Linked DNA regions of Canis lupus familiaris. The protein of the gene in region 6 interacts with the protein of the main gene of each other region in a biochemical or structural test. Links are inferred from orthologs where the notes say so. Each region holds a gene or a part of one and is shown on either strand. Other genes may lie near its edges. The genes, in order: PJA1, RNF34, RNF114, RNF146, SH3RF1, UBE2D3 and MUL1.

Region 1 (4,081 bases), on a different chromosome or scaffold from region 6:
CTAGAGAACTGTGGAGCCACCCCAGCCAAAGACCTGGCCCCTTTCTCTGGGTCGTAGGGCTTATCATCTTTAAACTTGCCAGTTTTCCCTCTAACTGGTGCTCGCTCAACAGGCCCAGCCCCCTCCTCCTCACTATCATCTGCCCCAAAAGAGTCAACATGTCCATAAGCCAATCCTCTTCTGCTACCTGAAGCCCTGTACTCTCTCGGTGGGTACCTGGAGTAGTCCTCATTATCAACATTCAGGCTGGCTCCAGAGCTCTCACTGTCCTCCCAACTACGACGGGTGATGGAAAATGGTGACCGGCTCCTCTTGGTGGTTTGACTGGGGGCTGATCTGTGCATTGGGACTTCGGATGTTGTCTTTCTCTGGCTGGAAATCCTGTCCTGCTGGCTCGAGGATGGCCTGAAACTGACATAAGCATGCCTTCTTCCATACCTCCTGCCTGTATTGGACTGATACCCTCCTGCTGGCTTGGGCCATACGGGCTTGCTAGATTCCTGACCCATGGCTCTGACTTAGGAGGGTTTCCAATACAGCTGGGGCTTGAGCGGAAAGGCTCCTGCTCCCTGCACAAGCTTGGGAGATGGGAAAGTCAAATCAGTTCAGAATAAAAGAGCAGGGAGATCTATTTTCACTTCAGCAGGCAGTAACAGAAAGGATAAGGGGCCTTTACAATTAGTTTCACTTTCTTCTAAGGCCTGAAGTAGCATTCCAGTGACTGTCAGGTGTAGACCTGGAACACATTTTTAATGTTGGCAAAATGATTACAAAGCTGGGTTGGTTGGAGAGCCAGACTTGGGGGAGAATCTGACAGAAGATGGGGGTGCCTGGATGCTAGGAAGGTGGGTGAAGTAGTGTGAAATTAGGCCAATGTGGAAGAGGAAAGATTGTTGTGGTTATCTTATGGGGTATCTGCATCTTTTCTGAGCCCTGCAGACAGACAGGAGAAATGCAAATTGGGATGGGGTGAAAAAGAGATCACCATGTGTTCATGAATGCCTAACGTGTCTGTCAGGAGGAGAGGGACAGGTGGAAGGGGGGGGGCAGTCATCATGCAATGAAGAGATGCATGTTTGTAGGGGGAGGGGACAGGTGTACTGGGAAGAGGCGTTAGTGTCAGACAGAAGGACACCCATTCTGGATGTGGGTAGGGAAATGACAGGTGCCAGGGTGGGGGGTGGCTTCAGAGGAGAGGGGTATGTGTAAGCATGACAGAAAGAGAATGTGCATGTGTGGCTGTATATGTGCAGTGGCTGCAACTCTGTGGAGGGAGCCCGTTTACGTGTCTGTGGCAGGCAAGAAAGGGTTTGGTAGCATTGGACAAGGGTGGCCACGGTCTGTGAGTATTCAGCAAAATGGGAGGCAACAGTGGAGAATGTCAGTGTGAGTGAACGCATCCACGAGAGGGACAGCACAGGAGAGGGATGTGAGGGTGGCTGGTGGGTGGAATAGGGAGCCAGCAATCAGGGAAATATGTGTATTCACGAATGTGGCTAGCTGGGGGGTGATGGTGTCCCCAAAGAAGGATTTATGTGAGTGTTTGCACTGCAGGAACCAGCAAAGGAGGGCTGTCTATGCACGTATGTAGCAGATGGGGAGCAGGGCTGGGAGCATCTGTGAGGGCTGTGTGAATGAGAGTGTGTGCGTGCATATATATGTATGTATGTATGTGGCACATGAAAGAGGAGCCAGCAATCAAACGCTATCGTCATGTGTGTGGCAGGCAAGGGCTAGGGCAGCCCCAGAAGGGGTGTGTGTGGTGTGTGTGTGCTCACACAGAGGCAGAAGAAGGAGGGGGCTGCTTCTGGAGGTGAGTATGTGGCAGGCAGTGAGAAGCAGGGAAAGGCACAGGAGGGTGTGACATTGTGCAAGAGTGTGTGTATGTGTGTCTGTCCACGTCCTCAAGGGGAAGAGGATGTGCCAAAACCTTGAGTATGAGGGGGGTGCAGGGAGGGGGCTGCAACGAGAGGTTTCTGTGTGTGTGTCTGTATGTATGCCTGCGTACGTGTGCGTGCATGTGCACGCGCACCATGTATGCATGTGTCTGTGTATGTCCCTGCCCACACATGCGAGACATGGGGAGGGGGAGGGGGTCACAGTGTCATAAAGAGAGATGGCAAAACGTTACTGCTCACACTGGCAACTCCAAACCGATGGCCAGGGAAGGGGAATAAAAGAAAGGAAAGGCAGGCAAGGGTCTAGTTTTTCCCTGGTAATAACTGGTTTCTCAGACAATTCTTTTTCCTGGGAACGATAATATATTTACCTACAAATCTGAACAATTTGCCATTCAGGAAAAACAACTGCAAAATGGGGGAAGAAAGGACATGGAGTGCTCTGTAAAGGGACCAAGGAGGGAAGAAGTAGGGGAGGGCCCGGACCCCCACTCCCCTCTCAAACAGCAATTGAAGCCATCCGAGTAGGGGCCACGCCACGCGAAGGGGGCTGGGAGATGGAGGATGACGCCCCCGAACAGGTCGGGGGATACAGGCCTCACTCTGCAGGCAGGTCCTGCGTCCACCCCACCCCTTCCCAAGGGGCGCGCCTGAAGATCTGTTCGCTAGAGGACCCGAACCCTCGTCCCCAAGCCCCGCCACCTGCCCCGCCGCCCCTTCCGGATGAACTGAGGAAACAGCCTCCACTCACCCAGGGCTGACAGCCGCGCGCTCCTCCGGGCGAGCGGAGCTCTCGGGCCGCCGAGCGTCAGGGCCGCCGGGGCTGCTCCGGGTCTCCAGCTCCTCCCCCGCCAGACAGCAGCCGGGCAGGCGGCGACTGCGGCGGAGGAAGTGCCGGTGGCGTCGCCGGGCCCGCCCCCTCGATGTGGCGGGGCGGCAGCTGCTCTCCACCAATCAGGCTGGGCCCGAGAGCATGATTTCATTTTAAATGATGAAATCGTCAAGGATACAGAAAAGGACAGCAAAAAATGTAACCAACAGCCAGCTTTAGCAAATGTTAAACATTTAGCCATACCCTCTTCTGTTCTGGGGGTTTTCTCCCCCTTTTTAAAGATGAAGTCGACAAATTCTTTCTGATTAATTCTGATGTTCAAGTAATTACAATAATATATCATATCCTATGTTATATGGCATGGTTTGTACTAGAAGCATAAAAAAATGTGAAATTTTATCTAGAGTTGCAGGTTCATTTTTTTTTTTGACCTGGTAATTGAAGCAATTGAACTGTTTACAGTAGAATTTGTTGCTGTTAATTTTTTTTCTCTGTTAACGAAACCAACCTTTTCTATCCAAAAGAAATGATCAGTCATGAAGCGTAATACCGACTCACAACCTGGTAATCTCATTGCAGTTTAAAAATACTATAGCTATACCTTTTGGATTTGTATAATTTTACAGAATTCTGAACTCTTTTATTAATTGCACTTTACAATGCATCTTTAATATTTATGGAATGTAAAGACTCTCCATGTTCACGACAATAGCAAAGTTTTGTTCTTGGAAACAAAATGCACAATACAAGGACAGGAAACATTAGGGTAACAAATATAATAAGAATAGGATGTATGTGTAACAAACCACTAAAAAAATAATATGTCGAACAAAGAGAAAAATTCAATCTATCAAACTGCAGAAGTGAGGTGGGAGGCAACAAGAAAGGCTATTTTTTAAGACCCAAAGGGCAGGAATAAATCCAAATATATCAGTATATAGTATGGATTAACACTAATTAAAAAAAAAAAAAGCAGACTCTCAGAAATCCTGAGTGGCTCAGTAGTTGAGTGTCTGCCTTTGGCTCAGGGCGTGATCCCGGTTCAGGGATCGGGTCCCTCATCGGGCTCCCTGTGAGGAGTCTGCCTCTCCCTCTGCCTATGTCTCTGCCTCTCTCTCTCTCTGTCTCTCATGAATGAATAAATAAAATCTTTAAAAAATAAAAGGCAGACTCTCATTTTAAGTATTTTGTTTTTCTTCAAATTTGATTATATGCTGTTTATATGAGTTTCACTTAAAGCAGATATAGAAATGGAAAATATATGCCAGTTAAATACCACAAGAAATGAAGAAGGAAGGAAAGGAAGGAGTGAGGAGGGAGGAATTAAAAGAAAAAAAGAAAAGCAAGAAAG
Region 2 (3,500 bases), on a different chromosome or scaffold from region 6:
CTTTCTAAGACTTCAGACAAGTTCTTTAATTTCCCAGAGGTTCCCCATCTGTGAAGCAAGGCAACAGCAATTTCAGAATGCTGGAGAACTAGAAAGCCCCCAGCATAATACTTGGTCACAATAAACAGCAAATCAATAGTTAAGCTAGTGGTACATCAGCAGCCAGGAAAGGTGCTGGATCAGATGCAGATACCCATTCATGCTGTACCCAAATAAATTAGGAACTAAGTAGGACAATGTAAGCAAAAGCATTTTTTAAAATCTAATTTTATTCCTAAAGTTAAATTAGCTAGCGGTAGCACTGAAAATACACTTTCACTATACAAAACAGTGTAAACTGGTTCAACATTAAGAATTTAACACACACACTTCTCTAATGAAAGCAGCTAGATGCAGCCCTTGCTCTAAAAAGCTGTACCTGAACAGAAATGGACATGTTAAGTCTAAGGCCCTGGCAGTTGACTACAGAATGTCAGTTGTTCCCAATTATGTTTAAACGCAGAAATAGCAACAATGTGGAAACTTACATTCATCAAATAGTAGCATTTAAAATATACATGACTAATAAAGTGAACATTCAGAGGGGCCACTGCTCAGTGTGTACCATGTTGGCCACTTGTGGACAGTGATCTCATCCAAGAGAACAGAAGTTTCAAACATCTGAGTAGTTTAAGTTAAAAATAGGATGAAGGAGAAATAGAGAACAGGATAAATGTTCTCCGGAGAGAGTAGCTGATGCTGTGAGCAGTCTGCCTTCATCAACAATCAGTGATCACAGATGTGGGATGAAGCCCCGCAGAACCTGGGAAATGGCGTGTCCCCAAGCTGGCAGGCACATGGCACATACCAACATTGCCACAACTTAGGATGAATCTTTCTGTCCCCAGTTAGTAGTGAAAATAATTTTTAAAAATAGTTTCAGGGGATCCCTGGGTGGCTCAGCGGTTTAGCGCCTGCCTTTGGACCAGGGTGCGATCCTGGAGTCCTGGGATCGAGTCCCACGTCGGGCTCCTGACATGGAGCCTGCTTCTCCCTCCTCCTGTGTCTCTGCCTATCATAAATAAATGAATAAATAAATCTTTAAAAAAAAAAAAGTTTCAGCCTTTGTACAGGAAGTTTCCAGGCACTCCTGTATATTGAAATGTCTGGGATCGAGCTTGGGGGCGAGTGTCCTGTCGGGAAGAACCCAGGCTTCAGGACTTGAACACGTGCACGGCGCGCACCACATACTGCCGGCAGATGGGACACTCACTCATGCGCTTGCCACACTTGGTGCAGGTGACCATGTGCCCGCACTCAAGCAGGACACAGTCAATGACGGCATCCATGCAGATACGGCACAAGCGATCATCTTCCTCATCCTGCAGCTGCAGTCGCTCGCCATCTGAAAGGCAACAGAGAGCTGGGGCTGTGGACACAGTGCTGCCTGATTGGCGGGGGGGGGGGGGTGCCCTCACCAGTCATCTGGAGAGACCACGGCGGGCCCCAGATAAACCCGGTGTCGTGAAAAAATAATCCAGCTTCTCTGCACTTCCATTCCCTCCACTAGCAATGGCAGTAGTAATAATGCCTATACCTTGTAGAGTTTTGTGAATACATGAGAAATGCTTAGCTTAGGGCCAGGTATGAAGTGCCCACAAATATTAGCTACTTAGTTCTATTTTATAGCTGTAATTCAAAGTTCTTGTGAGAAGAACAGATTACTTCTGTAAGTGAAAATAAAGAGACCTAAGGTTGTCTCTATACACGGGCCTCAGAGAACATGACTGGAATTTCCCACCCAACTGTGTGGCCTTGGGAAAAGTCAGTCTCCAGAGCTTCATCTCAGTAGGAAGAACTTTATTTCCACACTGATAGAAAAGTTCTGAAGAGTCATACGTCAAGTAGCCTGTACTTGGGGGAAAACCAGTTGGAGTCTAACTGCAAACAGACCGGCTATCCTGGCTCTGAGGCCCACCCAGATTTAGGTTCTGAGAAAATCTAAGCTCTGAATAAGAAAGGTGGTGAATGAGTTTAAAAGTTCACCTCAGCCCAAGATTTGGCCCCAGAGCTCAGGATACAGAGGCTTCCTTTTCTTTAGGGAGATCTACAGAGGATCGATGGGAATATATCACAATTATAGTTAGAAAGAACAGGAATTCACTATTGAAGGGCCAGTAGTCTCTGGATTTAAGAGAATAATGCCATTTCAAAAGATTCTTGTAAACCAGGGAAAAAAAGGATTCATGGGATAAGACAATTGATGAGCCAGTGGAGAAGACCCTAGAGGGCTCTTGAGTAAATCAGAGTCTAGGCTTTGGTCCCCTCCCCTGCATGGAAGTTTCCTTCCAAGAGTCACAAGTTCTGAGCATAAAGCAGAGGAGCCAGGGTTTATCAAGGCTATTAGGTAAGGCTATAGAGGTGAATATCTCAATCTAAGTGACTGAAGACAATTAAAGTAGGGAAGATTCCAACTGTACTCATTTTGAGTATTCCACAAGTCTGGAGGTTGAACCAGGGAGAGAGTAAGCAGTGAGGTAACTGAAAAAGGCACTTTGGCAAATGTGTATGTCATGGCCTCCTCTACCATAAACTCCCGGAGGGTGGGAATGAATGGCTATGCATGACCAGAGCGTACTGTACACGCTTGGCATTTACACTTATTAAATAAACGGATTTCTCCCCTCACTACCAGAATGCCATTTCCCAGCCACAGTCTGGGACCTCTGAAGGCTCTGAGGCTTAAGATTCTTGTATCTACCCTTGTGGCCTCATCTTAGGAAATAGGTATGCCAAAATACTTCCCGCATATTCAGGCATAAAGCTGTTTACCAATAATTGCTGCATTATAACCAGATTGAAGGGAAAAAAAAAAAAACCCTCACGATGATAAAAGTTAGTGGGAGGATTGTTTAGATAGGAACATATTTGTCAGTCTAAACACCATTGAAATATTCTTTCTTGCCTATAAATGCTCTATGGCTTGGCCCTGTTACCGACTAAGGATTTCTGTTCCATGCCTCATCAATAAATAGTTTTGGAATTCTTAACTTCAGCTTTTCCCAACTTCTAGAGAAACCTAATACTCGATGCTAAGAACTACTTAACATCTTGGCTCTAGGTAATATTTTTTTTTTTTTTTTTTTTTGCAGTTAGGATTTAAAAGCTACAGTTGAGATAACCAAAGTATTGGCCTGCCAGGTTAGTGAGAAAACATGCATTTTCATAGAGACAAGGGAGTGCATTAGAGTTCTAACAAATTATGGCAAAGAAAACCAGACTCAACAAATGACCTAACTCACTTGCAATGGTGGTTTCAGAGCCAACATCACATAATAAACTTACTAATTAACAAGTTCATACCTCTAATTCACTCAATAAAAGGATACATAGTTTTGTGAAAAATTTTGACCTCATTGTGATAGAAACAACCCAATTTTTAAAAGACTAAAGAAGGATAGTATGGGGGAAGAAAGAAAAAGGAAACCTACATGACTTTTGGTTTTCTTCATTCTCTTTGT
Region 3 (3,500 bases), on a different chromosome or scaffold from region 6:
AGTTACAGAATGCCACATTGTGATAAATGATCTTAAAAAAAAACTGAAATCTGAATTCCATTTCCCCTATAAAATCTAGTCCTTGCAAGATGGAAAGAGAAAGAAAACCTAGAGGAGAGTGCTTCATCGCAGGTGTTCTAAAAGCAAAGGAAAAGTATAAGGAATGAAGAAAGAGAAGAGGTAAAGGGAAGATAAGACATTTTTGGAGGTATAGTAGTACACCTGGAAATATAATACAATATAATAACTAATCTTTAAAAATGGAGAAAAATCAAAAGTATACAGAATAAAACAAAAAAATCCATCATGCATGTAGTACAAGGATAAAGTAACGGGTAATTTCATTTCAATATCCTGAGTTTCAAAATGAAAGGAAACCACAAGAAAAAAAAAGAAAGCTTCATTATTTGAGCTCCAGCTTACCATAATGCTCCCTTCTGTCTTACCTCTAGCTAAAGAACTTGACTTCAAGCTGCCAACCAAAGAGCTCCCAATTAAAAGGGATAGGAAACAGCCCTATTCAGAATGATAGTCACTCTGCAGCCCTAGTGCTAAATCACTCTGAAAGAAAGAAGGTAAAGTATATCCATTCTATGGCCATCCATACTAATATGTTAGTAATGAAACGGACAGGTTGTCTAGTAAGTCATTAAGTGAAAAAAATTTTTCAAAAGTGAGAAAAAGCTCTAGAACTAGAGTATGCTCCTATTTTGTAAAATTCCTACATCTGTGTTTGTCAAAGGGCAGAAAATATTTTGCAGCCTTCTAAACCCAATCACTTTTAAACAGGTAATCTCTGGAGTGGGAAACAAGCCTACAGTATTTCATATGCTTTACGGTCTGAAATGAACAGAATCATAATTTTGAAACCTGTAAGACTGTGTGTGTGTATAGCTTGGAAAACGAGATTGTAGTTTTTCTCCTTTATAATTATAATAGATGTTGAAATACACTTGATTCTAGCATGATTATACAAAAAAGCACGGGTGCATTTCGAATGTTAGGTATTGTTTTTACAATCACATAATTTCATCCTAATCTTTATGTCATGATTCCTCCCTGTCAAGTACTAAAAAATTCAAATATTTTTTATATCTATAATGATAAAGATTGTAAAATTTCCCCTCTAGCTCACTGCAGCAGGTGACTTCCTTTTTTTTTTTTTTGTTTTTGTTTTTGCAGCAGGTAACTTCGAGATGTTTATCTTATTTTACACTTAAAAAAATTAAGAAATAGCATTCTGTCATTACATTCTAATGGAAATTACACATACTGCTTTGGAAAAGTGGCTCTTTTATAGGGAAAAAACTAGGATAATGGACTTCTATGGTTTTCAAAGCTACAAGATATAATACACTAAACCAACTGTTAAAAGAACAAAGCAAAACCAATAAGGTCACTAAGATGAACCGGCACAGCCATTGCCACAGATAACTAGCATGCACACGTGCTGTAAGTCACCTAGTCATGCTCTAACTTCAGGAACAACGTGGCAACAGCTCTGCGTTTTACCCCCTCTCATTGCAGAAAGACACTGACTCTTCCATTTTACTTCCACATACATTTTTACGGCAGCCATGGCAAGAAGTCTCTGTGCTCTCAATCTGCCGCTCGAGCTCCGCGGCTCGGACGCCAGGTGCCAGAGCGCTGCGACACACCCCACAGACAGGCTTCTTCGGCTTCAGACATTCCTGCAGGCATGCAGAGCAAAAGCTAGAACAAGACATACAGAGAACCTGCGTCATGCATTGTGGAGACAAGACAACAAAAATGGATAAACTTTTAAAAAGACATCAATGAATAATGGATTATAAACATATTGCTCCCTGTTCCTGATTCAAATACTGAGTCTTCCCGTGCCAGGAAGGGGATGGGGGAGTGTCCTGCAAAGAACACACAGGTCCAACAACAGAAACAAACACAAACTATCATGATACACAGTGAAAAGGTTTTGTGGCACAGTCCTCAAACCTTAGCACCTGCCACTGAGGGATCTTGGTGGGGTTTCCTGAATCTCAGTTTCTCCTCTGTGAAATGGAGACAGTAGTAGCCACCTCTGGGATTACTGGAATGGAGTATGTTTAGCAGCCCCTCAGTACAGTGTTAAACACATATGAAATGCACCACAAATAGGAGGTGCTATATCATCAGAGGTGAATGTAAAACACTATGAGAAGACAGAGATAAGACCACCTAGTTGTGACCCAAGAAGGACAGTGCTGGTAGGACTTCAGAAGCAGCATTCACAAAACAGCCTTAAAAGAGCTCAGCTGGCAGAGGAAGGTAAAAGCATTCCAGGCACTTAGACTTAAAAATTCATGACGCACCTAAGGAAATAAAAGTCTAACATCTTTCCTCATGAATGGTAGGAACCCAGATGTTTAAAGATATCAACAAGGCCAAATCCAAGTTTTAGAAAAATAGCTGAGGTTATCATGGACAAGAGAGTTGTTGGTTTTCAAAAAATATTTTTAGGTGAGAAAAGACAGGAGCCTTGAAGTAGAAACCAAACAGATTGGCTAAGGCAAGGAATTCTTTTTTTTTTTTTTTTTTTAAAGGCAAGGAATTCTAAGGGCCTGAGGCAACAGAGAATTAACTCAGGAAATGATTCAGAATGGAGTCAGTAATACTTGGGAACTTACTAAATTTGGAGAAGGAAAGTCAAAAAAGGCCAAGTTTCTATCCTGAAACCTATGCAGGGAGTGATGCTGAGATAAGGTATACAGAAAGAAAGGACAATAAAGGGATGGAAACAGCCTGGCTACATACCTGACCTGGGATTTAAGGCAAGATAACAAAACTTGCCAGGAAGAACTCAGGATGTATAATCAAAGGTAACCTATGCCATCTGACAAATTTTTACCATATCTAAGTATTTTCTTCCTCTTTGTGATAAAGCTAGATGTTAACACTGCCACACAAAATAAAACAGGCTGGGAGAAATTGAGGGGCCCTAATGATTTACCACTGAGAGCAAAGTTGAGAAAGAAACAAAATCCCTGTCTTCCTAATGCTTGTATTCCAAAGTGGAGGGGAAAAAAAAAAAGTTAGTTTCTGATAGTGATTTAAGTATAGGAAGGAAATAGGGCAGCCCTGATGGCCCAGCGGTTTGGCGCCACCTTCAGCCTGGGGTGTGATCCTGGAGACCAGGGATCGAGTCCCACGTCGTCGGGCTCCCTGTCGGGCTCCCTGCGTGGAGCTTGCTTCTCCCTCTCCATGTGTCTCCGCCTCCCTCTCTCTGTCATGAATAAATAAAATAAAATATTTTTTAAAAAGTATAGGAAGGAAATAAAACAAGGCAAAGAGATCAGCCAAGGTGGATCATACTGAGCTTCTTTAAGGAGGCAATATTTGAGCTAAGACCTAAAACTCCGAGGAGACAGTCACACGAACTTGGACACAAAAAGTTCCACAAAGAGAGGATATACCAAGTACAAAGGGATTTCCAAAAAGCAGAAAGGAGGCCTTTGGGACCATGATATGAAGACCACTGGAAGATG
Region 4 (2,873 bases), on a different chromosome or scaffold from region 6:
CCTGATCAAGGGAAGGTCTGGTGGGGATGAGGCTGGTATGGGGGCTGAGGAGCGGGACCACTGCAGGACACAAACATCCTGGTCTTTATCCTGAAATCAACTTTTTAAGCAGGAGGTAAGACTGGAACAATTTAAAAGGCATATTCAGGCATTTAATGAACACTGTTTACTGGATGGCTAGGGCAGAGATGGACAGTAGATGGATTCAGGAGAGTGGGATCACATTGGTAAGACCTGCTGATGTTTTGGATGTGAGGAGTAGGGGAAGGGCAGTGTCAGTGATGGATTTCAAATGGCTTGAAAGAGCAGATGGATAATGTTATCCCTGGGGGTGGGGAGCTTTTAGGGAGTAAATAAGGAGGAAACAGATCATGAGTTTATTTTTGGCTTAACATTTGTGCTTCTCATTGCTCCCCACAAGTAAAAATTCATGACAGAAAAAAATCAAAGATTTTTCTGCACAAGTTAAATTCTTTTTCTTTTTTGTTTTCCCATTTTCCAGTGTGTAGCACACATATACAGTAGGTGCTTAATAAGTGTTTTCTGAATTGTTGAATTAAGAAATTGGAAGAGTTGAAACGCAGTTTTAATGTTACGTGTATCTGCTCTCCTTTTCTTAGGATGGCTGGCTGTGGTGAAGTTGATCACTCGATAAACATGCTTCCTACGAACAGGAAAGCGAATGAGTCCTGTTCTAACACTGCGCCTTCGCTCACTGTCCCTGAATGTGCCATTTGCCTGCAGACCTGCGTCCACCCCGTCAGTCTCCCGTGTAAGCATGTGTTCTGCTATCTGTGTGTAAAGGGAGCTTCATGGCTTGGAAAGCGATGTGCCCTGTGTCGACAAGAAATTCCTGAAGATTTCCTTGACAAGCCAACCTTACTGTCCCCAGAAGAACTCAAGGCAGCAAGTCGAGGAAACGGTGAATATGCGTGGTATTACGAAGGAAGAAATGGGTGGTGGCAGTATGACGAGCGCACTAGTAGAGAGTTGGAAGATGCTTTTTCCAAAGGTAAAAAGAGCACTGAAATGTTAATTGCTGGGTTTCTGTATGTTGCTGATCTTGAAAATATGGTTCAATACAGGAGAAATGAGCACGGACGTCGCAGGAAGATTAAGCGGGATATAATAGATATACCAAAGAAGGGAGTAGCTGGACTTAGGCTGGACTGTGACTCCAGCACGGTCAACCTAGCGAGAGAGAGCTCTGCCGACGGAGCGGACAGCGTGCCAGCGCAGAGTGGAGCTTCTGTTCAGCCCCTGGCGTCTTCTGCGAGGCCCCCAGCATCGGTGGATGGTCCCTTAACAAGCCCTGCCACGCCGTCCCCGGATGCGAGCACTTCTCTGGAAGACTCTTTTGCTCATTTGCACCTCGGTGGAGACAGCATAGCTGAAAGGAGTCACAGGGGGGAAGGAGAAGAGGATCACGAGTCGCCGTCCTCGGGCAGGGTCCCCGCACCAGACACCTCCGTGGAGGAGACCGAGTCCGATGCCAGTAGTGAAAGCGAGGAAGTACCTGCGCTTGGTGCACAGCACTCCTTGACCCACCAGAGACTTTTGGTTCCTAGTGTAAACCAGACAGTATCTGATAGATCAGATCGATCGGGGACTGATCGACCAGTCGCAGGGGGTGGAACAGTGAATGCTGGTGTCCGGTCTAGAAGACCTGATGGCCAGTGCACAGTAACTGAAGTTTAAATACGACAGTCTTCAGCTCCAGGCTCAAAGTTAAGGCAGCGCTCTGTAAATTTCTGCCCACGTAACATACTCGTCCCTGGTAGTGCGTTGTTGGGAGCTGGGGGGGGAAGGGGTGTGGGGAGGACAGACCTGTAATTAAAATGTCTAACGTGTCTCTGTTGAGGAATTTATTTAATATAAGGAACTTGGCGTTAATAGTTGAGAGCTGTTTAGTAATAACCCAGTTTTCTTGAGGTCTGTTTATTTTATAGTTTTTAAAAGTTTCTTCAGTTCCTTTGGCCAGCGTGTGTGTATTATCTGTGCATTAACAGTCCTCATCTGACTCTTGCATTGTGTCTTACTTTTCTGCATGGATTGACGTAAAACCATTACTAAAATCTGGCACCTCTGAGGTGTCTGGTATCGGTATGAGCAGGAAGCTTAATGTGAGAATAGATGTGAATTCGGGATTTTAAAATAGATGAATAACAACTATTAAATAGTAAAGTTACCGAAATGGAAGTGTAAAGAAAACAGCTAATAACTCCTGTTTCAGAATCTTGTCTGTAACATACTCCATGGCATTTCCCATAGGCTCTGCTGTCTGGTCCTTGTAGTTTGAGGTTTCTCTTGACCTGCATTTTTCTTTTTGATTACAGAATTTATAATTTAATAAATACTAGAGTTTACCAAAAATAACTTGTCCGTTGTCTGAGTGTGGAAAGAAGATGAAAACATTTTGACATTTGTGGCCAAAGGTCAGTAACCAGGTGGTGATTTGAATCGGTTGTGCTCAGCTTATTCAGCTGCTCAGAAGCTTGGTTTTTTAACCGACTCCACAAGCAATTGCGTGCAATAAATACGTATGGAAGTAAACCTAACGCTCGGGGGACCTAGACGTCTGACGTAACTGGTAACAGGCACCACGCACCCTGTAGACTGTCATTGCCGGCCACCATTAGTGGCTTGACGCTAATGAATCCAACGGTAGGTTTATTTATAAACAGCATTAGTAGACACAAACTTAAAACGTAAAATCTGTGGCAAAATAAGTCTTGGATTAACTTGGTGATCCCGAATTTGGTTCCGAAAAATGGTAATGTTTGTCTTAATATAGTTTAACTCAAAACCGTAGGATTGTGTTGAAGCGTATGCAGGTTATTTTTAATGTTTTTCAAATGTGAATTAAATGTTAC
Region 5 (3,500 bases), on a different chromosome or scaffold from region 6:
TAAGCACCCAAAGAGAAGTTGGCTATAGTGAGATTTAAACTCTGAAGTTTAAAAGAACTGATTTTAAAAGTTCAAAGAAAATATATGAATGACCTGGAACTCAAAAGGAAAGATACTTCAAGAAGAATGGGAGGGATCTCCAGAATGAAATTCCAACATTACTACTGCAAATTATCTGAATAGATAAAAATGTAGAGGCATCTAACGGCGCTAATGTGATCCCCCAGAGAGCGGCCTAATGGGCTCAAATTTTTAAAGGACTCAATACAAAAAGATCAAGAGAAGGGACCATAAGAAAGAATGTATTATGGCCCATAATAGCTTAAACTTGGAAAAAAAAAGGGGGGGTAGACTTAAAGTTATGTTTGAAATGAGAAGAACAGGAAAGATACAGACCTGCTGCTTGAGATGGATGGTGGTTCTCAGAAGATAAGAAGAAAGAGAAGGATAATCTTCAGACTAGAAAGACCAAACCCTGATAAGAGGGAAATGGGTGAAGAGATTGGGATTTAGAGATCCAATAATTACTTGCCAGGATGAATTCACCCCAGCATACAGAGAAAATTAACAGCTGAAATGCAACCAAATAATCTTTGATAGATGTGGGTGAACCTGAGATCAGGTCAACTCAACAGGGCAATAAGGGATGTATAATCCTAATTTTCAAAAAGAAGACAACAATGTACTTTGCAGACTGTCTGGAAAATTCTAGAACAATATATTAAATGAAAGGAAATGAGACTCTGAGGAGGAGACTTCTTCAGGAGACACTTGCTAACATGAGTAACAGCTAAAATGATGGAGGACTGGGGAATAGTTTGGATGGGAGAATATAAAAGACATCTGGATTTTGACAGGCATCTGATAAGTTCTCCCATGATATCCTTATAGACCTGATGGAGGAATGTGAACTAAATGACACTCCAGTCATGTTAGTCATGGAATTATGGATTTTATATTAACCAAGAGAAGTCTCCCTGTGGATCTGGAACATTAAATGAGGTAGGAGATTTAGGAAGGAAAATTTATAATCTGTGACATAAGTACTAGTGACAAAAACTTCAAGAGTATAGCCTTAAAAAAGAAGATAACTTGCAAGTAAGTCAAGGCATCATATAGAAAGGAGAGCAACATTTTCTATGCAGCCCCTCAACATAAGGAAAATGGCATGGGACACTCTGGACCTAAGGCATTAATGGTTGGTTAGGGTGTCCAAACAGAGGCCATTTGTCAAGGACAGGGACTCAACAGGTAACTTGTTAGGCCCTATATTGTTGCTGTAACAAATTACCACAAACTTTGTGGTAAAAATCAGGCTTTAAAACTAAGGTCTCAGCAAGGGCTACATCCCTTACAGAAGCCCTAGGTAAGAATCTGTTTCCTTGCCTTTTCCAGATTCTAGAAGCTGCTTGCATTTCTTGGTTTGTGGCTCCCTCCTTGAATCACTCTGATCTCTGCTTCGGATGTCACATCTCCTCTGGACCCAATCCTCCTGCCTCCCTTTCAGGAAGATCCATGTGATTATATGGGCCCACTCAGATTTATCCCCTCATCCCAAGAGATTGATAAAATCCGTTTTGCCACATAAGGAAACATATTCTCAACTTTCAGGAATTAGGATGTGGACATCTTTGGGGAGCCATTATTCTCTCTGGCACAGCTCCCTTTCAAGTCTGTGATTCAATTAATTCTTTCCTGGGAGGACAGGAGTTTAAGAGCCCCTGTTCTCAATGATGAGGGTCCTGAAATCTTAAATTCTAAACTACAAAACAATTCTTTAAAGATATTGACAAAGTTGAACATGTCAGCTTGAGTACAAGTTTAATGTAGTTAATTATAAACATTGAACAGATACCAATCTTTTTCAAAAACACTAAGGTTAACTGAACAATTAAATATTAACTTTTTAGTAGGCTGTAAAGTTTATTTCCTTATAAACTCCTATTTACAGGCTTACCTAACCACTTAAAATAAGCGACGTACATTACCACCGAACCAAATGGTTAAGAGTTTATGATTACCCTAGAACTTCCCAGAATCGGGCTAGAGTTGTGGAGAAAATACACAAAATACTGAGGAAAACAGGATTTTCCTCAGGTTGCTACTTCCTTTGATTGTAATACAATTATCCAGACTTTGTTATCACTTCGATTTCTGTTCACGATTACTCACCATCAATTTCCCTTGTCTCAAACCACCTGTCTCCAAACCCAAAAACACGTTAGTCTTTCAAACCCACAGCTTTTTATTTATATTTTCTTTGAAATTCAGCCCCAAATGAGAGATTTTTTAAAGATCTATAGATTTAGGGCAGCCCAGGTGGCTCAGCGGTTTAGCGCCGCCTTTAGCCCAGGGTATGATCCTGGAGACCTGGGATCGAGTCCCACATCAGGCTTCCTGCATGGAGCCTGTTTCTCCCTCTACCTGTGTCTCTACCTCTCTCTCTCTCTCTCTCTCTCTCTGTCTCTCATGAATAAATTAAGAAAATCTTTTAAAAAAAAGATCTACAGATTTAGGAAATCATTTTTCACCCATACTTCAAATCAAGAGGAACACTATCCATGCTGATTATAATTAAATACACTGCAGAAAAAATAAATCCACAAATAACACTTCTGATCAACAATTCCAACCCTTTCATATATTACCTTTTTTTTTTTTTCAGAACTGACTGAATAGGAAGAATTAAGGATGGCACAATGATGAAAAAATGAGTTAACTAAAGAAGTAAGGAAATTCCTTCATGAGACATAAGCTGCAGAAGAAATGGCTAAATCTTATTCACTGTGGTTTCCCTAAACACCCAGTACAAGGCCTGGCAACTAGTGGGTGTTTCAACGCACAAAAATCATGAATCTAGCACCTGGCATGGTGACTCACACATGGTAAGCACTTGAAGGATTGTTGGACAACGAGTCCTTTCATTAGTTAGAAAGGATGGAACACAACATAAGCAGAGGAGAGGGATGTTGGTCTTACTTTATTATCCTTGTCTGGCTTGGTTGCTGAACTGTTCCCACAAGCCAGTGAAGCACTGTCAGGAGAGGTGGGAAGTCCAGGAAGAATAGTCACTGCCCGGCCACTGGGCTCAGTCTCCAGACAGGCAGTGGTGATGCTCGGAGAGGTCAATAAGGCAGCTGAACCACAAGCTAGGGGAGCACTGACTCGACCCATATTGACGGCAGCCACATGGGTGGTAGGGCCTGCCACTGGAACTGGAAGTTGTGGGGAAGCCAAGGGATGATGAGGCAGGCTCACGGACGCAGGGCTCAGGCAGGCAGTGTTCTGTACCTGGATGGGTGTCACTGCTGCCGTAGGGCGTTCTTGGTTATGTGCCGCCACTAGTAGATGACAGGAGAGAAAACAGCAAAGTTCGACTTTCTAATAATAAATGCTACTCACCAAAACATGAGTCATTTCACTATATCAGACCATAATGAAAGGTTGCTATTGCATTTTTACAATAAATAATGGATGTTTGGTGGCTTAAAAGCACTTAA
Region 6 (4,230 bases):
TTATGACACCTGAACTATACCACAAACCTGTAAAAAAAAAAAGGCTGCTATTATTATGTATAGTTCAGTGTAGGAAGAAACTAAGATGGTAAGCAACCACACAGTATCACACCAACGAGAATAGAGCAAGAACTCAAACCTGGATTTCACCCTCCACCCCAACTGCCTAATTCTGTGTTTCTACTCAAGTAGACCGGTTAAATCAGAGAACAAAGATTATTCTAGGAGAAGGGAAACAGGCTATGTGATGAGCACTTTAGTACTCTGCTATTCACGGGGCTGTACTCTGACCAGAATCATCTGTACCACCTGGGAGTTTGTTAAAACTGTGAAATCTCATGCTCCACCAAGGCCTACTACATCAAAATCTACATTCTGAACAAAATCCTTAGCTGATTCACAGAGATACTAGCTTGAGCAGGGTTTCACCAATTGCTCGAGTGACACTCCTCCTGACCACGTAAGCGGTATACATTAGCCCATTCATCACAGACCTACTTTAGCTTTTATTAGGTAATACTTTATTGTAACCAGAAATTGCTGCTTTTCTTTTTTTTTTAAACTATATTTTAAAAACAAGTTAATTTTCCTCTTTGATTCTTTAAAATATCCACTTCGTTAAGTCAGGAAATGTTCGAAAACTTTAAGCAGGTCAGCGCTTACCTTTAATCCTTTTAAAAATTACTGTCGTACCACCCCTTTGCCTGAAGGATACCCTAGAGAGCCAAACCACCTTCTCCATTATTTTACACCCGGCAGATTAAACAGGCCAATTCTGCTCTTCCCTTTCTGCCCGCCCCCGGATGTTTCAGTTAAGTAATACGTTTTTCTGACCCAAAACTCTGATCTTTTGAGTTTTGCAACTCTGTGGACCTAGAAGTTGAAACACGGCAAGAGGAAGAAGGAGGTGTTAAGTCTCTTCCCGTACCTCAATCCTGGCGGATGGTGACAGGCAAATAGCCTGCCCCTATTTCCCTACCCTCCACGTTAATCCATAGTTGAATCTGATGCCTAGACGACTGCGACTGGGAGGGGCTCTAGGAGGCCCCCTTTCCTCAGTACGGACCCTCTAGGTCAGAAACGCGCTGTGTCTCGGCACGTGAGAGCGCTCATCAGCGGTCCGCTCGGTTCTATTTACAACGAGTGTTGCACTTTGAGGGGTGCCTCCTCCCCCTGGTTAACGAGCCCGCACGGGCAGGCGAGTGCGGATATATTGCTCACCTGCTCCACCGAAATCTCGGAAGGCCCGGATCAACCTGGACTAAAGGTACCCGGTGATTAGCCCGTGGCACCTCCCGCCGCACATTCCTGATTGGGCGCGTGAGGGACGGACGCGCCGGCGCGCGCTCCAACCCGTCCGGGGAATTCCAGTTCCCCTCCCTCCCACCAGCAGAAGCATCCAGGGGCGGTGCTTCCCGACGACGGCCCGCCCCTACTCCAGCCGGTGCCTATTGCATCTCGCGAGAACTTGTAGATTCGGGGGGCGGGCCCCCAACAGGAAGAGCTCACGCAACTGCCCTTAAGTCATTGCAGGGCTATCGCTCCGGCTAGCCAGCCACGAGGTTCTCGCGAGATCCGCCGCCTCAATACCAAGTGAGGAAACTGGGGGACGCTGCTGGGAGGGGCGTGGGTCTCGACCGCGCAGCTGCCGCTTCCATTACCTTCCTCCCATGGTCTCCTTCCGGTTCTCGATGCTTCTCTGAGTCTGAGGGTTTCCGCCGCTCGTCCACCCTCCCCCCCCCCCCAGCCCATGACCCGCCTCCGGCCCCCGCCCTCCCAGTCCAACCTCCGATCTGTTTAGTAAGAAGGTGCTGTTCCGAAAAGAAGGAAGAGGGGGTAGCACAGATCAACTCGGTCCCGGACGTAGGAAGTAAACCGTCCCCCCGTCCCCCTTCGCTTCGTCCTGTGCTCGCGACGGCGGCGTTGGCGGACTGATACGCGGCGGTGAAGAGGCAGGAGGAGGGGGGAGGGGCGGAGCGTGGCAGCTGGCAGTAGTTCCGTCAGAGCGGACATCTTGTGGCTGTGTCGTGCGCGTGAGCCCCGTAGGGCCGGGGAGGCACCAGCTGCCGCGCGGGGAGGAGGCCGAGGCCGCAGCTTGAGGGAGGCCCCGGCCCCTCTGTACGCGTGGGTGTGGACGGCTAGGGGAAGGGAAGGGAGGCCGGCCCCCTGGCCGGCCGGGTAAGAGGGGAGATCCGGGCCTCGGGTGGCTGGAGTGACCAGCCTGTTGGGTGGGGTAGGGTGGGAAGGCTGGGGAAGCCGGGGCCTCGCCTGCCCAAGGGGGTGGGGGAATGGGCGCGTCCTCGCGCCCGAGCCGGAGCCTCAGGGGCAGCTCGGGCGCGTGGTGGCGGTGGCGGGGCGGGCGCGTGCGGGAGCGCGCTGGAAGGCGGAGTGTACGGTGGCGTCAGGGCCGACAGAATAGCTCTGGCTGCGGGGACGGCAACCTACAGCAAGTCTCTTTATTATTTCCTTCTCCTTCCGGGCCGCACCTTTGAGCAGAAACCGAAAGAACCCCGGCGTCAGTCCGGAGCCTCCAGTCTTCCCCCTCCCCCCTAGCCTTTCTTCGCCCTAGTGACGCCGGCGCAGCGCCGACTAGGCCCCGGCTCCTCCTCTGCTGGGCTCCGGACCCTGCCCCGCACCCACCCCTTTCTCCTACGCCTCTTCCTCTCCCACCCGGGTCTCTTTCGAGAGGCCGGGAAGTCAAACTTGTAGCCGCCCCCTCCGCTCTTCCCGTCACCCTCGCCGCCTCTCCGGGCCGAAGCACGGCATAGAGGCTGTTGGTGGCTTTGCCACGCCACCCCACCCACCCCGGATCGCGACCGTTTTAAGGGACCTGGATTCATCAGGGTCTCTCCGGGGCCTGTGCGAGTGCTGATCTGCTCCGTTTTTGCAAAAGGCGCCTGTGTCTGGCAGAGCCGGTGTGAGACGAAGAGAGACAATCCTTCCCTGCCGCCCGGGTAATCAAGAGTTTTGGCCGGACCTTTGAGCACACACCGAGAGAGTGAGGAGCCAGACGAAAAGCACAGACTATGGCGCTGAAACGGATTAATAAGGTAACCCACGGGGCTGAAGGGAAGGGGGTCGTGGGAGGAAACGAAGGCTCGGTCTCGGAGGAAAGCGTGGGGGTGGGGAGGAAGTATAATTAGGAAAACGTCTTTCCTTGGGTCACTTCTGTGGGGGGGGGGGGGATGGGAAAGAAAGGAGGCTTAAAGCTAGAGAACAGAACACTTGTGGCGAATGAGCTGTTTATCTTGAGTATGTTTCAGTTGGAGTCGGCCCAAATGAGGGGTGGGGGAGAGTGATTTTAGGCGCTTGGGTTTTGCTGCTAAAAAGAGTTTTTTAGTCTTGTTTGAGGGTCAGAATTGCCCAGAGACGCTCCCGCAGATGTCATGGCGCTCCCTAGTCTCGGTGCTTGAGAACTTTGGCTGTAAGATCAAGGTTTTCGGGTTTTCTAGGGGGAAGAGTCGTAGGAAACTCCTAGGGGAGGTGATAGAAATCTGGCGGGTCCTGAACCTAATTGGGGGTCGGTGTAGAAGTCTCTTGGCGGCTGAAGAGTAGTGACTGAACCTAGTTAAACTTCATCGACTCTGAGCAGGTTACACAAGAATAAGTGGGGCTGGGAAGAGATGGGCTGACACGATGTTACCACTTCCTATGTTTTGTAGTTGAGACTTCTCACTCGAATTTATAAGAGGGACGCTGCGAACTGGTGTAAAAGGCTTCTGGAAGCTCCCTTCTTTTGACTGGGGGGTGGGGGGGTGGGCGGTACGGGTGTGATGGCAGTAAGGGAAGGTTTGGTGTACCTATCTTTGTCTCGGCTGATTTTATAACACTTTCGGAGATGATTGGCTACTTGAAACGTGGTTTGATAGAAACTATTGATAGATAGAAGTTGAAAGAAATACGTTTTTTCGAGCCTGGGGGGGGCGCCGGGTGAGCGGAACCTTCACCTCCGGTGGTTTAGTCTCATTTTCTTGCTCTAACTTCTATCCCGCATTTTAAGATGGCGGCTGCTTTAACTGGTTCAGGCTTTTTCCGGCATCTCCTTTCGTCATTATATGAAATAATATTCTTTGTTAAATGTTAACTTTTACATCAGATTGTACACAGCTCTTGAGACGTCCTGCTGAAGACTCGATGTTCAAACTCTCAAACTGCATTTCCCTTTTTTGTAACTTGTGTATGTGTGGTGTATTTGGTTCTTGCACAATCGAGGAGGGTGGAGTATTTACA
Region 7 (4,223 bases), on a different chromosome or scaffold from region 6:
AACATAAGCAGTTAATCAACACATTTTGTAGGTTATATGCTGTATTCCTGTAATAAAACAAGCTAAAGAAAAGAAAATATTTTTTAGGGCAGCCCCGGTGGCTCAGCGGTTTGGTGCCGCCTTCGGCCCGGGGTGTGATCCTGGAGACCCGGGATCGAGTCCCACATCAGGGTCCCTACATGGAGCCTGTGTCTCCCTCTGCCTGTGTCTCTGCTTCTCTCTCCTGTGTATTCTCATGAATAAGTAAATAAAATTTAAAAAATATATATTTTTAAAAAATCATGAGAAGGGGCCCCTGGGTGGCTCAGTGGTTGAGTGTCTACCTTTGGCTCAGGTTGTGATCCCAGGGTCCTGGGATCGAGTCCTGCATCGGGCTCCCCGCAGGGAGCCTGCTTCTCCCTCTGCCTGTGTCTCTGCTTCTCTCTCTGTATCTCTCAGGAATAAATAAAATCTTTAATAAATAAATAAATATAAGAAAATACATTTATAATACTGTATTTGTTGAAAATAATCTGCGTGTAAGTGGACCTGCACAGTTCAAACCCATGTTGTTCAAAGGTCAACTGTATGTACCAGGCACTACGCTAAACACTTTACACGCGTAAATTCATGCAATGCTCCTACCACCCCTATACAGCAGACATTATTAGCCCCAATTACAGATAAGGAAACTGAGGCTCAGAGATATGAAATGCTTTGCCCCAAGTCACACAGCTGGTACAGCATCCACCACAGGATGGCCAGTTAGAATTTTTTAAAGGGGAGAGGGAATACGGTTGGAAAGACACTTGAATCAACCTTCAGTCCATCTATTGTGACTTTGAGCAACTTAATTTACCTGAGTCTCAATTGCCAAAGCTGTAAAAAAAAAAAAATGGAGATAAAACTATCACTGGATTTTTATGTGTGTTCAATGATGTGTAAGGTGTGAAGGAATCTAGCCCAGGGGCTGGCACATAATAGGCAGGCAATAAATATGCATTCCCATCACTACGAGAGATGCACAAGGTTAAGACTCAAACCTACTCTGCGAGTTTTGTAATCTGATCAAGAAAACAGAACCTAAAATATTAGGAATCCCAACTCTTTCCAGGAAGGGGCTGTTTCAACTTCATTTGGGAACTAACTGGCAAAACTTTTAAGGCCACCCAAAAATAGATCCTGGAGAGTTCACTGCTTCAAAGGTCCCACATTCAGCCAGCTTGATGCCAACCTGATTTCAGACTTTTAGAGTCAGAAAGTGGAGTATCAGTTACACTCCTGGCACATGACTTCAGCAGTAACCTGTTTATAATCAAACAACTGGGCAGCTGGAATCTCACTAGGACGCCATTTGCACCACAAATCTAACTGCTTGGTAACCTGGTTCGATCCAGATGCATTCCCAAACTCCCCTTGACGGCAGGGATTTCACACATTGGTTCCTGAGCCCTTTTATTGAAAACAATATGGTGATAATGAACTAAGCCAGGTTTAGGAATCCTTCAAATAAACGTCAAGCGAAGCCCTAACTGTGGTATCGTGACATTTCAGCCAAAAGGAATCCACAAACATTCGGTGAGCGTCTACCACTTGTCAGGCACTGACTTACAACCTAGAAGAAAAAGCATACGTAAGACCCTGTCTCCGACCTAAAGAGGTCCATCTCTCATGGGCCAGTCAGACCGTCACAGTAAAGCAATGCGGTCAATCAGGAAAGGAAAGGAAAAAAGAAAAGAAAAAATAATAATAATCCCACACTTGGAATCCAAAGACCTAAGTTCCAACTTGAGGAGCTGTTAAGACTTTTCCCGGGAGTCTCAATAATTTCCCCATTTGCAATCTGGAGATGACTGTCATTTTCCATACCTCAAAAAAAAAAAAAATGATTGTGAAGGAGAAAAAAAAAAAAAAAACAAGATGAGAATGTGCTAAGCTGGAAAGGGCAGACTAAGAAAGAAAGTGTTATTTTTAAAGTAACTAAACCATCAAAAAAGGAAGAGTCTGTAGGAACAAGGAACTGAGTGGTTACATAAATGGGCAAAGTCTAGGGTTTCTGCACTTGCTGTTCCCTCCATCTGAACTGTTCTTCCCCCCAGACACCTGCACGGTCTCCCTCACCTCCTCCTGGGCTCTGTTAAATGTCACCTTCTTTAAAATAGCACACCTCCCTTTCTCCGGCACCGCATTTCCTCTCTTCCCCGCCTCATTCTGTCCTATTTTCCTCCCCATCTGTCACCCCATCCGATGTACTTGTCTGTCTGTACCAGACTGGAATCTCCATGAGGGCAGAGACTTTTGGTCTCTTCTAGCCGTGCAGGAGCCCCAGGGCCTGGAGCAGAGCAGGCGGCCCGCTAAGAATTTGTCGAATGATGTAATCCAGTCGCGATTCCGGGTGAGGAGAGGGACTGAGAGGAAGAGGGGCAGGTGGAGCGGTTATCACGTGACCCGAGTTCTGCTCGCCGCGCCCCCACCGAGACCGGCGGGGCGACACCTCTCAGGAGCCGGTTTCCGCCCTGGGGCGGTTTCCGGCCGGAGGCGAAGGGCGGGCCCACCGTTACCGGGGGGCAGGGTCGAGCCGGCGGAGGCCAGGCTGGCCCCAGCACTGACCTTGAGCTCCTGGGCGACCTGGGCCTTCTGCCGGTACACGGAGTACAGGACGGCGGTGACGACAGAGCTGGTGCCCAGGAGGATGAACTGGCCCAGCGAGGGCCGCCCCCCGCTCTCCATGGCTGGCGCGGAGCCCCGGGTGCCCGCGGCGACGCCGAGGTCAGGCCGCGCGCCCTCACGCTCCGCCGCCCTCCGCCCGGAACCGCGCCCCCCACGCCGCCCTTCCGGAGACCCGCTCCGCGTCGCCCGGCGTTGACGCAACGACGCCGGGGCCGGAAGTGGGCGGGGCCGCGCGGACCGGAAGGCGGCGTTGCCCGGGTGACCGCCCGGCTGCGGCGGCCTCCGCGGGGGCGGGGTCTCCGTCGCCGAGAGGCGGGGCGAGGGGGCTGACCGGAAGTCCGAGATCGCGGGTCTCTGGTGACCCTTTGCCCTTGGGAGCCGCGCTGGTCGTGCTCGGGTCGCTCTGGTTTCCTGGGGTTATTGTTGGGGTGTTTGATGGGCTCGTGATGGCTCCACCGAGACTAATGAGACTCCTAAACCTCCGCCTCTTTAGGGGGGGAGGAAAAGAAGAGGACTAGTGTGTAGCAAGCCCTTGGGAGTGTTGCACCTTTAAGCTCAGGGCAAACCTTGAGCCTTGGAATTTTTTTTTTTTTCTTCCCACTTTGCAGATGCGAAGAGTGAGGCCGGGGACATTAGGGGATGTGCTCACAGTTGCACTGCTGGTGAGTGCAAGAGAGGAATTTATTGGGCTCCCAGAGCCCTTACAGCCAAGAAGGCAGATTTTATCACCAAAGTAGCCCCTTAATCTGTCATCACCCCCATATAACAACCTATTGTTTGTCAGCTAATAATTACAGCTGCTTTATGGTGCCTGTTTCTGTGTCTGTGTTTACAGACATCCTATTTAATCCTCACACCACGACTGTGGAGCCGATTTCAGACTATCTTCTGACCTCTTTAGTGATCTCCTTACTGAAATAATCAGAAGATAACCCAAAACCTGACCCAAAACATCAAGGTGTTCATCCAAGTTAGCTCCTCCTGGTTACGCTTTAAAAAAATTCTTGGAGGTGTAGGAATGTACCCGCTGGTCAAAAGCAATATATATGTAAAAGGCATCTGACATCTGTAGGTTGCTCCCCAAAAGTAAAGTCTCTTTATTAAAGAAATTGGTTGTCCGTGACATTTTCCTACCACATTCCTTAATTATCCTTGGAATCCAATGAGAATTGCTTTTCTGTGAACGTGGGGTTAGAATCTCCAGATTGTTCCTGCCCCCAGATACTTTTTGATGGTTTTCAACTAAGAGGTGATCATGAATTTGGTACACACACATACACTTAAAGTTAAACCTAACTTTATTATTTTTTTTTAATGGAACTTGTCCAAAAGTTAATAACACATTGTGTTGGCAAAGGGACAGGGACAGGGGATCCCTGGGTGGCTCAGCGGTTTAGTGCCTGCCTTCGGCCAAGGATGTGATCCTGGGGTCCAGGGATCAAGTCCTGCATCGGGCTCCCTGCGTGAGGCCTGCTTCTCCCTCTGTCTGTGGCTCTGCCTCTCTCTCTCTCTCTCTCTCTCATGAATAAATAAATAAAATCTTAAAAAAAAAAAGGTACAGGGACAGAGACTCC

What was found.
Region 1: the proteins of UBE2D3 (region 6) and PJA1 form a complex in vitro, tested with the Homo sapiens proteins (2 studies listed by BioGRID). The link is inferred for Canis lupus familiaris from reciprocal best matches to the Homo sapiens genes UBE2D3 and PJA1.
Region 2: the proteins of UBE2D3 (region 6) and RNF34 form a complex in vitro, tested with the Homo sapiens proteins (2 studies listed by BioGRID). The link is inferred for Canis lupus familiaris from reciprocal best matches to the Homo sapiens genes UBE2D3 and RNF34.
Region 3: the proteins of UBE2D3 (region 6) and RNF114 form a complex in vitro, tested with the Homo sapiens proteins (2 studies listed by BioGRID, with this or other methods). The link is inferred for Canis lupus familiaris from reciprocal best matches to the Homo sapiens genes UBE2D3 and RNF114.
Region 4: the proteins of UBE2D3 (region 6) and RNF146 are reported together in a solved structure, tested with the Homo sapiens proteins (2 studies listed by BioGRID, with this or other methods). The link is inferred for Canis lupus familiaris from reciprocal best matches to the Homo sapiens genes UBE2D3 and RNF146.
Region 5: the proteins of UBE2D3 (region 6) and SH3RF1 form a complex in vitro, tested with the Homo sapiens proteins (2 studies listed by BioGRID). The link is inferred for Canis lupus familiaris from reciprocal best matches to the Homo sapiens genes UBE2D3 and SH3RF1.
Region 7: the proteins of UBE2D3 (region 6) and MUL1 form a complex in vitro, tested with the Homo sapiens proteins (3 studies listed by BioGRID). The link is inferred for Canis lupus familiaris from reciprocal best matches to the Homo sapiens genes UBE2D3 and MUL1.

What each region holds. Positions count from the first base shown.
Region 1 is NC_049260.1:53,797,515-53,801,595, forward strand, and holds the start of PJA1 (E3 ubiquitin-protein ligase Praja-1), read right to left. Parts: upstream 2,801-4,081; 5' UTR 2,650-2,800; intron 737-2,649; 5' UTR 510-736; coding exon 1-509. UniProt on the Homo sapiens protein: Has E2-dependent E3 ubiquitin-protein ligase activity. Ubiquitinates MAGED1 antigen leading to its subsequent degradation by proteasome. May be involved in protein sorting.
Region 2 is NC_049247.1:7,980,878-7,984,377, forward strand, and holds part of RNF34 (E3 ubiquitin-protein ligase RNF34), read right to left. Parts: coding exon 3,471-3,500; intron 1,385-3,470; coding exon 1,253-1,384; coding exon of another isoform or gene 1,194-1,252; exon of another isoform or gene 250-1,193; intron 1-249. UniProt on the Homo sapiens protein: E3 ubiquitin-protein ligase that regulates several biological processes through the ubiquitin-mediated proteasomal degradation of various target proteins.
Region 3 is NC_049245.1:37,091,743-37,095,242, reverse strand, and holds part of RNF114 (E3 ubiquitin-protein ligase RNF114), read right to left. Parts: intron 1,714-3,500; coding exon 1,563-1,713; intron 1-1,562. UniProt on the Homo sapiens protein: E3 ubiquitin-protein ligase that promotes the ubiquitination of various substrates. In turn, participates in the regulation of many biological processes including cell cycle, apoptosis, osteoclastogenesis as well as innate or adaptive immunity.
Region 4 is NC_049222.1:66,568,566-66,571,438, forward strand, and holds the end of RNF146 (E3 ubiquitin-protein ligase RNF146), read left to right. Parts: intron 1-620; coding exon 621-1,698; 3' UTR 1,699-2,373; downstream 2,374-2,873. UniProt on the Homo sapiens protein: E3 ubiquitin-protein ligase that specifically binds poly-ADP-ribosylated (PARsylated) proteins and mediates their ubiquitination and subsequent degradation. May regulate many important biological processes, such as cell survival and DNA damage response.
Region 5 is NC_049246.1:20,140,973-20,144,472, forward strand, and holds part of SH3RF1 (E3 ubiquitin-protein ligase SH3RF1), read right to left. Parts: intron 3,342-3,500; coding exon 2,980-3,341; intron 1-2,979. UniProt on the Homo sapiens protein: Has E3 ubiquitin-protein ligase activity. In the absence of an external substrate, it can catalyze self-ubiquitination. Stimulates ubiquitination of potassium channel KCNJ1, enhancing it's dynamin-dependent and clathrin-independent endocytosis.
Region 6 is NC_049253.1:15,659,361-15,663,590, forward strand, and holds the start of UBE2D3 (ubiquitin-conjugating enzyme E2 D3), read left to right. Parts: upstream 1-1,430; 5' UTR 1,431-1,593; exon of another isoform or gene 1,594-1,632; intron 1,633-1,742; exon of another isoform or gene 1,743-1,952; intron 1,953-1,960; exon of another isoform or gene 1,961-2,178; intron 2,179-2,893; 5' UTR 2,894-3,026; coding exon 3,027-3,050; intron 3,051-3,780; exon of another isoform or gene 3,781-4,177; intron 4,178-4,230. UniProt on the Homo sapiens protein: Accepts ubiquitin from the E1 complex and catalyzes its covalent attachment to other proteins. In vitro catalyzes 'Lys-11'-, as well as 'Lys-48'-linked polyubiquitination.
Region 7 is NC_049223.1:77,793,427-77,797,649, reverse strand, and holds the start of MUL1 (mitochondrial ubiquitin ligase activator of NFKB 1), read right to left. Parts: upstream 2,801-4,223; 5' UTR 2,710-2,800; coding exon 2,590-2,709; intron 1-2,589. UniProt on the Homo sapiens protein: Exhibits weak E3 ubiquitin-protein ligase activity. E3 ubiquitin ligases accept ubiquitin from an E2 ubiquitin-conjugating enzyme in the form of a thioester and then directly transfer the ubiquitin to targeted substrates.